3 linked regions of the Rattus norvegicus genome follow. The protein of the gene in region 3 interacts with the protein of the main gene of each other region in a pairwise test. Links are inferred from orthologs where the notes say so. Each region holds a gene or a part of one and is shown on either strand. Other genes may lie near its edges.

What was found.
Region 1: the proteins of Cdkn1b (region 3) and Ccnd2 interact in binary tests that used the Homo sapiens proteins (3 or more experiments, as listed by UniProt). The two-hybrid records come from large-scale screens. The link is inferred for Rattus norvegicus from reciprocal best matches to the Homo sapiens genes CDKN1B and CCND2.
Region 2: the proteins of Cdkn1b (region 3) and Ccna1 interact in binary tests that used the Homo sapiens proteins (3 or more experiments, as listed by UniProt). The link is inferred for Rattus norvegicus from reciprocal best matches to the Homo sapiens genes CDKN1B and CCNA1.

What each region holds. Positions count from the first base shown.
Region 1 is NC_086022.1:161,652,500-161,655,587, reverse strand, and holds the end of Ccnd2 (G1/S-specific cyclin-D2), read left to right. Parts: intron 1-1,843; coding exon 1,844-1,993; 3' UTR 1,994-2,540; downstream 2,541-3,088. UniProt on the Homo sapiens protein: Regulatory component of the cyclin D2-CDK4 (DC) complex that phosphorylates and inhibits members of the retinoblastoma (RB) protein family including RB1 and regulates the cell-cycle during G(1)/S transition.
Region 2 is NC_086020.1:141,383,253-141,386,902, forward strand, and holds the end of Ccna1 (cyclin-A1), read right to left. Parts: intron 3,082-3,650; coding exon 2,877-3,081; intron 1,972-2,876; coding exon 1,858-1,971; intron 755-1,857; coding exon 621-754; intron 343-620; coding exon 291-342; coding exon of another isoform or gene 217-290; 3' UTR 101-216; downstream 1-100. UniProt on the Homo sapiens protein: May be involved in the control of the cell cycle at the G1/S (start) and G2/M (mitosis) transitions. May primarily function in the control of the germline meiotic cell cycle and additionally in the control of mitotic cell cycle in some somatic cells.
Region 3 is NC_086022.1:169,490,415-169,494,164, forward strand, and holds the start of Cdkn1b (cyclin-dependent kinase inhibitor 1B), read left to right. Parts: upstream 1-1,089; 5' UTR 1,090-1,126; exon of another isoform or gene 1,127-1,462; 5' UTR 1,463-1,501; coding exon 1,502-1,976; intron 1,977-2,506; coding exon 2,507-2,625; 3' UTR 2,626-2,634; intron 2,635-3,750. UniProt on the Homo sapiens protein: Important regulator of cell cycle progression. Inhibits the kinase activity of CDK2 bound to cyclin A, but has little inhibitory activity on CDK2 bound to SPDYA. Involved in G1 arrest. Potent inhibitor of cyclin E- and cyclin A-CDK2 complexes.

The DNA.
Region 1 (3,088 bases), about 7.8 Mb from region 3:
AGAAGATGGCAGGACCTAGGTTTTTAATTGTTAATGACGGTGGTAGGTATCAAAGAGCAGAATTAGAGATGTTAGAGCCTTGGCACATAAGTCCTTTACTTGGTACTGTTGAAATTAGCCTGATGTCTGTCTGTCTGTCTGTCTGTCTGTCTCCCCCTCTCTCTCGCGCTCTCTCTCTCTCTCTCTCTCTCTCTCTCTCTCTCTCTCTCTCTCACACACACACACACACACACACACACACACAATGCTGGACCATACTCTCTCTAGGACCAACCTGTGGCACATCCTTGTCTTGAGTAATTGGTAATCTATACCTTTGTTCAAAGAAACCTAACATGGGCACGTTTGCGTGCTTAAAGTTTCAGCTACTCAGGAGACTGAGGCAGGGGCATCACTTGATTAAAGCCAGCCCAAGAAACATGTAGTCTCAAAATCCGAAGGATTCTTTCAGATTCCAGGACAGATGGAGCCATTAAACCATACACACACACACACACACACACACACACACACACACACACACACACACACACATACACACGCGCGCGCGCGCGCGCGCGCGCATGCGCGCGCGCATTAAACATTGGTTATTCATTGATTTGCTGCTTTATTTTATACTCGGAGAAACAGAAATTGGGGTTTGCAAGTGGAGCTATACCGGGCCAGCATGGAGTGAGCACCAAACTCCCTCCTACTTCCCACCCCTTTTAGGTTCAGGAGAACATTTCAACCTCTGACCTTTGCTCTTGGTCTGCTGTCATTCATCTTCAAGCTACAGTTTGAACTGAGGGGCAGATAGGAAAGATAAACTGGAGGTCGAGGTGGGGTAGGTTGGAAGGGGGTAGAAGATGGAAACTTTTGCTCCTTGGCGGTTGTTGCCAATTTTATTTTCAGGTCTTCAGAAAATAAAGATAATGCCTTTGTGTTTGGGGGGGGAAAACCCAGCAATTTCTAGGTGATGAGGTCTAAACAGGGAAGTGTGTGTTGAGCTGTGAGGGGACACCAGGAGATTCAGCTCAACACCGGTTTTATATGCACTGACTGCTTTGTGGTGCAAGGAGAAGCTAAGGTGAAAATCCCTACTAGGGACAGTTTCCTCAGCTCGCCCCTCCCCCCAGCCTTCTAGCCTGAGCCTTAGTCCCAACCCAGTGACAGCCGCGACTTGCCCTCACATTCCAAGTCTCCCAGCTAATAGAATCTTCTGCCTGGGGCGGCTCACTCTGGGTTTTCCCTACCAAATATAGACTAATAAAGGCGGCACTGAAAAATCTTGCTTATTCCCAAATTGGACAAGCTGGAGTGTCCTGAGTTTTGTAAACATTATGCGTTGTGTTTTTGTGAAAAGGGTCCAAGAGCAGGGTAAATGAGCAGAGGGTACAGGGATTTTTCGTTTCTGGACACTTTAAGCGGCTAAGCACCACCCTTCTTATCCATTCCTCGGTTGCTTGTTTGGCTTACAGTATAGCACCTTGCAGAAACCAAACCTTCCGTGCCACCTTTCCCAGACAGAAAAACCTCCAGTTGATCCCTTGATGACCAGGCAACGACTTTTATAGCTAGATCACCTTCCAGTCAAAGTTTAGAATAGGAAACGCCTGGGCTTCAGCAGAAGGGTCAGCTCTGATCCGCTCGATCTGGGATAGGCTCCTAGCCAGATCCCAGATGGTGCTGACGCTGCCGGCTGTGGACCCCACTTTGTGTACTGAGTTTCTGTGCCATTTGAGAGCGTTTCTGTTTTCCTTCCCAGGGAAATGATGATGTGAGTTGGATTGTGTCTGCCTTTGGGAGGCATTGTATGCATTTGCATGTGCTAATCGCTCTGGCCTGGATCTCTCTCCTCCAGGATTGTCTCAAAGCCTGCCAGGAGCAAATCGAGGCTGTGCTGCTTAACAGCCTTCAGCAGTTCCGTCAAGAGCAGCACAACGGCTCCAAGTCTGTGGAAGATCCGGACCAAGCCACCACCCCTACAGACGTGCGGGATGTTGACCTGTGAGGAAGCCATTCGGGCGGCAAGAGAGAGGCGTGTTCGTCATCTGCTAGCCCCTTCTCTCTCTCTCTCTAGTTATGTCTTGTTCTTTTGTGTTTTAGGATGAAAGTTCAAAACAAAAAACAAAAACAAAAACAAAAACAAAATCTACCCCCACCTAGATCATATTTAAAGGTCTTTTAGAAGTGAGAGGGAAAGGCCATATAGTTGAGGCACATGTGGTACCTGTTCAAAGTCCAGCAGAAAGGGATCCCTTGTATATGCGAACCATTATCATGTGATGATGTAAGAGTTCTAGTGAGATGCTTACAGGAGAGCCCTCAGACTAGCTAGAGAACATGTATACCTGCAGTATGGGAACGAATTAGAGGAGACTGTCTCTTGTGCTTGGGAACTAGTGCATATGCCCCCTTTAGTAGAATTGCAAGAAACCATGGATGCCGGTGCGGCATGAGTAGTTTGCAAAGCATTGAACCCAAGAAGGAATCAGAAATGAGAAGGGACACGCTGGGGAGGTTATGCAGAACCACCCAACCACACGACTGAACCATTTTGGATGTAAGAAGCGTCCTGATGCCTCACCACGTGTTCCCAAGACTGAGCGTGGTGGGGTCTCTACGTTGCCTACTCCTGCTGACTACAGTAGCTGCTACCTAAGGGATATGTCTTTTGCCAGTTGGACGCAGGTGATTGGCTCCTAAGTCTCATGTTTGGTGAATTTGGGCGTCTTCTTCCAAACATGGTTCATTGTAGACGTTTCCCACTGTTATCTGATGGAGGGAATTAGCTATGGGCCGTGACAAAAAAAAAACTCATCTAATGGGGGCAGATGGAGACCACAGATGGAATTTTGAAAACAAAGCTTCTGTGTAACCGGAAGAGGGTGAGGTGATCTTTTATCCCTTATTAAGAAGAAGAAGAAGAAGAAGAAAAAAAAAACTCTTAATTTTTGGTGCTGATTGGTGCGTCTGGTCCACAGTTTAATGTTGTTATAAACCATTCCACTAGAAAAGCACTTTGAAAATTTTGGGGGAGGGTGGGGTGGGATATGGGATGGTTTATGCAAATCATGTTGAATATGCCTTCCTTCTTTGCCCCTCC
Region 2 (3,650 bases), on a different chromosome or scaffold from region 3:
ACCAACTTGGGAAGGTGTTGACACAGCTACGATATAACTCGCAACTAAGATGCCTGTTGTGTCAGCTATGCCAACTAGTAAAGAGGCCCAACACATGGCCACACAGCAAGTTGTTTATTCTTTTAAAATACCTGTCTATATCTATATAAATTATAAACTACCGACGTCTAAAAGAACCTAACACTCATATGTTGAAGGTGACATCTACAACTGACATTAGTTGGCCCGACCCGCAGAAAACTGTAACAGGTCAGAGTAAGCCTGCTGGTGTGGCTGTTGAGCTGACCCGTTCACTGCAGGGGAAGAACTACGGGTGGCTCCATGAGGGACACGTGCAGGTACCTGAAACGAGAGCACAGCCAGGTCAGCCCAGGGCCAAGGATGCCAGTTAGGCTACAGAAAACCTCCAGCAGTCTGAAGGGTCAGAAGGAAGCCAGCTAACTATAACTGCCAAACGCTGGCAAACTGTGAATCTAGCTAGATCTTCCTAAATGTCTTTTCTTGACTTAGCGAGCAACCTTGTTTTCCAACCTAATGAAAGATAGAATTTATTCTACTTCTTTTTGTTGTTCTGATTCCACAACAACCCAGAAAGCAAGGAAGGGAGAGTGCCCACTTACTTCGAAGCCTTGTACTTCTCCCTGATTGCTTGCTGCGGTCGATGGGGTATACTGAGGCATGCTTTATGCAGCTCACTCAGGCAAGGCACAATCTCATTTAATGAATAGCCCGTAAATGCAGCAAGTGTTTCTGGCTAATTGAAACGAAAAGGAAATTTTGCTTCACGTAACTTTATAAGAGGTTAGAAATCTGAACATAACTGCTTATGAAGTGAAGGGTGAAGTGAAATTCTTGGTGAGCAAGTATATCCATCCAGAAAGATTCATAACCCCTTCCTTTAGAAACCTTACACTAGAACCAAACAGCCTGGGTTCTAAACTGGCAGGAGTATAGTTGTAACCCTCAGTGTAGAGGCAGACCACTGTTCTTGATCCTATGTGGGTGGGGCTTTCACTGATTCTTAATAATTTACACTAAATATGAGAGATTGCATAGAATAGAGATCCCTAGTCAAAAGACAACCCTTGATAGGAGGAGAAAAGTTCTCCTCTGACCTACATCTCTCTCTGTCTCTCTCTCTCTCTCTCTCTGTCTCTCTCTCTCTCTCTCTCTCTCTGCCTCTCTCTCTCTCATACACACACACAAACACATGTGCATGCAGATAAATACATTTTTTAAAAGAGTTATCTAGTATCATAAGAAATAAAAGTAGATAACTCATTTCTTTTAGCACTCCGAGAAAATTTAGAATAAAATGTAGGGATCTGTTTCTGATCTTTCTGCCTTCTGAGGCAAGAAACAGTCATTACTGAACTTGGAGGGGTTTTGTTGTTGTCGTTGTTACAGAAGCTGAATGCTACTAATGTTTGTTTTATTGAGATGGTCTCCCTCTGAGACCCAGACTGGACTTGGACTAACAATCCTCCTGCCTCCACCTCACAGGCACTTATAATATAGGTGTGCACCACTCCAGCTGTCTAGGATCAACTTTAGCTTGGCATGGCCAATGGCTAAGCCTCAAGGCCCTCTATGCATATTTTGTTGGGCACTGAGGTTCCCAGGCCTTCCTGATTCCGTGCTATTTCTGCTTCCCACAGAGCAAAGCCATGGCATCAAAGCCATGGTGACTGATCTAGAAGACTCAGAAACAAGCTGTGGTCTGCTGCCATGACAACCAGCTATCATGAAAAAAACTTTCCCTCAGAAGGCTTGTGTCCATTCTGAATCTTGAACTCACTGAACAGATTTTGTATGAACTTTGAATGTGTTCTACTTAGGAAGAAGACAGAAACGTACCCAGAAGTGTCTGTTCACAATATAGTTTGCCAGACAGTAAGCTGCTGCTGCTACCAAGGAAGGAAGATACTTCAAGAATGGGTCAGCTTCCAGAAGGCTCAGTTCTGCAACATACTAAGGGCAAGAGAGAAAAATCTCAGTGGAGTAAGAAATTTGAGCAAGGTCCAATTTGACTAAAATTGTCAGTAAACCTGGAATTGCCAAACTCACCAATTGGTTCCTTATTTTCATTCCCTCAGAATCTAATGATGAGCCCCAAACTTAAGCCAGGTATATTTCCTAGTTCCATAGTTGCTCTGACTGTCCTTCGACTGACTAATGTTTGTGTTGTGATGATGTTCCCATACCCTATCTCACCCACACGGCATATGTGATAGGTTACTTCTCTTATCTAGTAGATCAGGCTTTACGGTGGTCAGATAAGGGAGTATTGAGCTCACATCTCAAATAGAAAGAGTCATTAGCCAGGAGGCAAAGAAACAGCCATACTGAAGCTAGCAATGGCTAGGCAAATTGATACAGTTCTCAAGCTCAAGCAATGCCATTGGAGACGTGTCAGGAGAATGCAGGGAAATCTTTGTGGTCATCTTTATTACTCTTTGAATAGCGTGTGTTTCACAGATTTCCCATGGCAAGCTCACTGGCTAGGACAGAGTGCTAATAATTCCAACTAAGTGCCTCTAGATCAAAATGGCTGCAGATTTCGTGCTGCTTTATTTCTTACTGAATTAGAATAAGATTCAAACAAAACCCAGCCACGTTTTACCTTGCTCCCAAGTTAAAAGGCGCTGCTCGCCTGCGGTCTGCATCTCTCAAGGGAGCTTACCGTGCTTAAGAGTCTTTGATAGTCGGGAGCTACGTGACTGGGACCTGCCAGTACCATCAACAGCAATGTCTGGTGAGCAGGCATCGTGTTTTTAAGACAACTGCCTTTCACCTCTACAGAGATGGAAACCCGGGAGGGATGGGCGTGGAAGGTGGTTGGAAAGGTGGCTGTCCCCAGAAGTCCTGTGGCATACCTTGGCCAAATTCTCAGTCCTGATGCACACCCCTTGCCGCCTTAAGTACTGAAGGAGGAACTGGTTGGTGGTTGGAACGGTCAGATCGAATGCCAGGACTTTCAGCAGCAGATGCTCCATCCTCAGTAGCTGTCGCTTTGTGTACGTGTCGTCAGTGATGTAGACAAACTCATCGACATCGGGCGGGTATATCTCTTCGTATTTCCTGGGGGGCGGGTAAGGAATTATCAGGGGGAAAGTTTGGAACGGTCGTCTCTAGCTCCTGTCCTCTCGCATGGCCCTGGAGGCTTATTCACTTTATACTGCCATTGCCACAGAACCATCAGAGAACTGTGTGGGCTATAAACATACTGTGAGCTTTTTCTCAGTCCGCGAGAGTACCGCAAGGGTATGGTATACTAACTGCTGGGAACTGTGACAGGTTGGGGACTTTGAAACACTGACTAGGTCTAAAGGACACATGCTTCAGCTGGATCCCTGTTGGTTGAATAGATATTGGGTCACTTTGTGAGAAGAATGTTAGGATCAAACCAATAACAGAAAAAAAACAATCCCATAGCTTTGGTGGCTTTAGCTGTGCTTTGTTTTGTTTCTGAAGACCATATTAAATTATTCAACTTCATTAGTTAGCAAAGGATACTGAATCACCAAGAGAAAAATAACAATATAATTTCATTATTGTCCTCCTTCCCCTCTGCTTTCTTTATGGCCAGCCCCTCCCCTCCTTTTTACACATTAACAACTAGGACATGCAGGCTAGAAGAGAAACTACCA
Region 3 (3,750 bases):
GGAGGAAGGAAGGAGCTGTTGTAGTTGGCGTCTGGACTCAGGTGGAGGAAACGGCTTCAGCTCTGGGGGAGAAGAACTGCAGAGTATAGAAACTATAGAGGCGAGTTCCCACACGCAGCCTATAGCAATGGCTTTCCCACTTGGAAAGCACTTGGTTCCCACTGTGCTTGGGAACCAAGAAAAATCAGAGCTGGCTTTTTCAAAACTTAGTGTCTGATGGCTATAAAGCAGATGAAGAGGCTTGAGAGAGCACTGAGGGTTTTGAATCTCGAGATGGGAGTGCTTGGATTCAGAAACACCCTGATAAGAGTCGTCAGTCCTGGTTCCTTTTTGAAGCCGTCTCCGGCTTGTCCTACTTAGCAGAGACTTCTGGGGTCAGGCTAAGCGGCCGATTCCCGCAACCTAGCTAAGTCACCCTGCGGGGAGTGGGGGTGGGGGGGGATCCCAGGCACCGAGCCAAGGTTTCCTGGATCTTTCGCCTACCCTCCCTCATTCCCACCTCGGCGAATGCAGGTGGGTTGAACTAGCCACTGAGGCTCCAAACAAGCAGCCAGCGACCTCGGAGCTCACTGGCCCAGGCCCTGGGTTTCGCGGGCAAAGACCTGGAGGTCGCAGTCCGGAGCGGTGGCGCGCCTGCCAGCGCAGCTCTACAGCGCCCGGACCTAGATTCCCGGGTCTCCGCCTGGCCGCCGCGCTGGCCCCTCCCCAGCTCTCCGGCCGTTTGGCTAGTTTGTTTGTCTTATTTTTAATTTCTCCGGGGCCAGCCAGAGCAGGTTTGTTGGCAGTCGTACACCTCCGAGTAGTCACGCGACCAGCCAATGTCCTGGCGGCGGTACGGGGAGGCGGCGCGCTCGGGAGCGCGGAGAGGCGGCGGCGCCGCGCCCGGGGCCACCTTAAGAGCGCGCTCGCCAGCCTGGGCGGAGCCGCTCCCGGCGCCCAGACCAATGGAGCTCCTCCTCTGTTTAAATAGACTTGCATTGTCAATCATCTTCTTCTTCGTCAGCCTCCCTTCCACCGCCATATTGGGCAACTAAAAAAGGAGGGGGGCTCGTGCTTTCGGGGTGTTTTTCCCCCCTCATCCCTTGTCCCGACTCACTCGCGGCTCCGAGACTTGCGCGGCGGCAAGGTTTGGAGAGGGGCTGCGTTCGCGGGACCCACGGGCTCGCCCCAGCCTACACTCCGACTGTTTGCCACCTCCTCCTGCCTCCTCCCCTCCCTTCCCCGCCCTCCAGTACACTTGATCACTGAAGCTTCGAGCTGCGCGGCCGGGGCGTCCCTGCGCCTCTCTCCCCAAGACCTGCGCGCTCTTGCGGCTCGGACGGTCGCTCGCCTGGCTCTACTCCACTTGGCCGTCTCTGTGTGCAGTCGCAGAACTTCGAAGTGGGGTTTGCGCTGCGGCAGGGGCGTTTCGCTTTTGTTTGGTTTTGTTGTTTATTTCATTTCATTTTTTTTTTTTTCGGAGAGAGGCGAGGCGGTGGTCCACACCCGCCCGGGGAGGAAGATGTCAAACGTGAGAGTGTCTAACGGGAGCCCGAGCCTGGAGCGGATGGACGCCAGACAAACCGAGCACCCCAAGCCTTCCGCCTGCAGAAACCTCTTCGGCCCGGTCAATCATGAAGAACTAACCCGGGACTTGGAGAAGCACTGCCGAGATATGGAAGAAGCGAGCCAGCGCAAGTGGAATTTCGACTTTCAGAATCATAAGCCCCTGGAGGGCAGATACGAGTGGCAGGAGGTGGAGAGGGGCAGCTTGCCCGAGTTCTACTACAGACCCCCGCGCCCCCCCAAGAGCGCCTGCAAGGTGCCGGCGCAGGAGAGCTTGGATGTCAGCGGGAGCCGCCAGGCGGTGCCTTCAATTGGGTCTCAGGCAAACTCTGAGGACCGGCATTTGGTGGACCAAATGCCTGACTCGTCAGACAGTCCGGCTGGGTTAGCGGAGCAGTGTCCAGGGATGAGGAAGCGACCTGCGGCAGAAGGTGATGATTCTTTGGAAAACTTAAAATGTCTGTCTGTCTCCGTAGCTCCTCTTTGCTAGACCCTGTTCGCTTGCTTTTTCCTGCGTGTTCTGCTTTAGTTCTGGGAGATCGAGCCTGTTTGATGCTTAGGTTTGAAATACCCCCAGCTGACTGCCTGGCCTGTTTATGATTTTGAAGTCAGAAGCCGGAGATAGTAAGATGTGATAACTTCCCCAGCCTAACGCGTCACAGTTCCTCCCCTCTAGCCAGCTGTAGATATGTGACAAAAGTTAGGATGTTTACCAACTGCCTCCTTCTTGGCTAGGGGGAGAAAAAGAGACGTGGGGCGTAGAATACTCCTTGTGTTAGTGGAAACAACCTCATTTTGTGTCCTTAGAGGCTACCGGGGATGACGGGTCCTGGGGTCGTGGGTGGAGGTAGTGGGTTGATCATCCCCTGACTCTTGGGCCAACTTCTGTCAGCCATTGTTCTCGATAATAAAGATGGTTTGTGTGTGTTCTTTTAAAAATTTCCCCTTGCCCCCCTCTTAGATTCTTCTTCGCAAAACAAAAGGGCCAACAGAACAGAAGAAAATGTTTCAGACGGTTCCCCGAATGCTGGCACTGTGGAGCAGACGCCCAAGAAGCCCGGCCTTCGACGCCAGACGTAAACAGCTCCGGTGGGTTAATGAGGAAGAGCACAAAACTGACACCCTAGCTGGGCTGCGCTCCCCCGGGGGGGGGGGGCTGCAGACCCCAGAACTGCTGGCAGATTACTTGCCTGCCAGGAGGAATTACTTTCCTAGGTCAAAAAATTAACACTGAGGAAGGCTGGAATCACTTGAGGGGACTGTATGCAGTATTTGTATCCCAAGATGTTTACCTTAAAATGGAACCAGAATGAGTGTCCCAAGAACTTGCCACCAAGGCCCCAAAGGATAGGGAAAGTTATATCCTTCTGAATCCCATTAAAACTTAAGCTGGAAATGACAATTTTCCTTCCCATTCTCACTTCATGAGAACCCATTTCCCAGAGGTTCGTTTTCAGCCAATAACCTATTTTGAGCCGTTTGAACCATAGAAAAATGGCAAATATATAATTACGTTTATATTCTTAAAAGAAAAACCAGGTACACGTAGTGCAGGTTTGGTTAGGAGTGTCTTGTGTTCTTCTGCTTTTGTTTTGGTTTTTGGGTTTGTTTTTTTTTTTTTTTTTTTTTTCGAAATAGGGTTTCTCTGTGTTAACAAACAGCCCTGGAGATTGCTCTGTAGACCAGGCTGGCTTTGAACTCACAGAAATCTGGCTGCCTCTGCCTCTGCCTCCTGAATGCTGGGATCAGAGGCATTTTGCCACCACCTCCCTGTACTTTTTTTTTAATTTTTTTTTTTTTTAAAGTTGTGCCTTTCCTTGTATGCTGGTAAATTTTGGAGAGTAAGAAAGGGACTTTAAAAAAAAAAAATTAGAATGGAAAGTTCAGAAGTACTAACGCTCCCACAGAATTTCTGATTTTAACCCTGAGGTTACAAAGCAGAAGTTAAATGAGCAGCCAGAGGAAGCAGTCCTCTAACACGTCAGCGCCGTATGCTAATTGTGCTGGAACAGGATGGTTTGGATGTTTATAGGGGAAATGGATGGTAGATGTTAGGACCAACTGAGAAGGTCCAGCACAAGTGTGGATTTTTCCATGTGTCAAAATCTCATCACCCCACTTGCCTAATTAGAGTAACCCAGCCCCTAAATTTACATAGATTGACTATTCATATGAGCCGACGATATATAATAATTTATAAGCTTG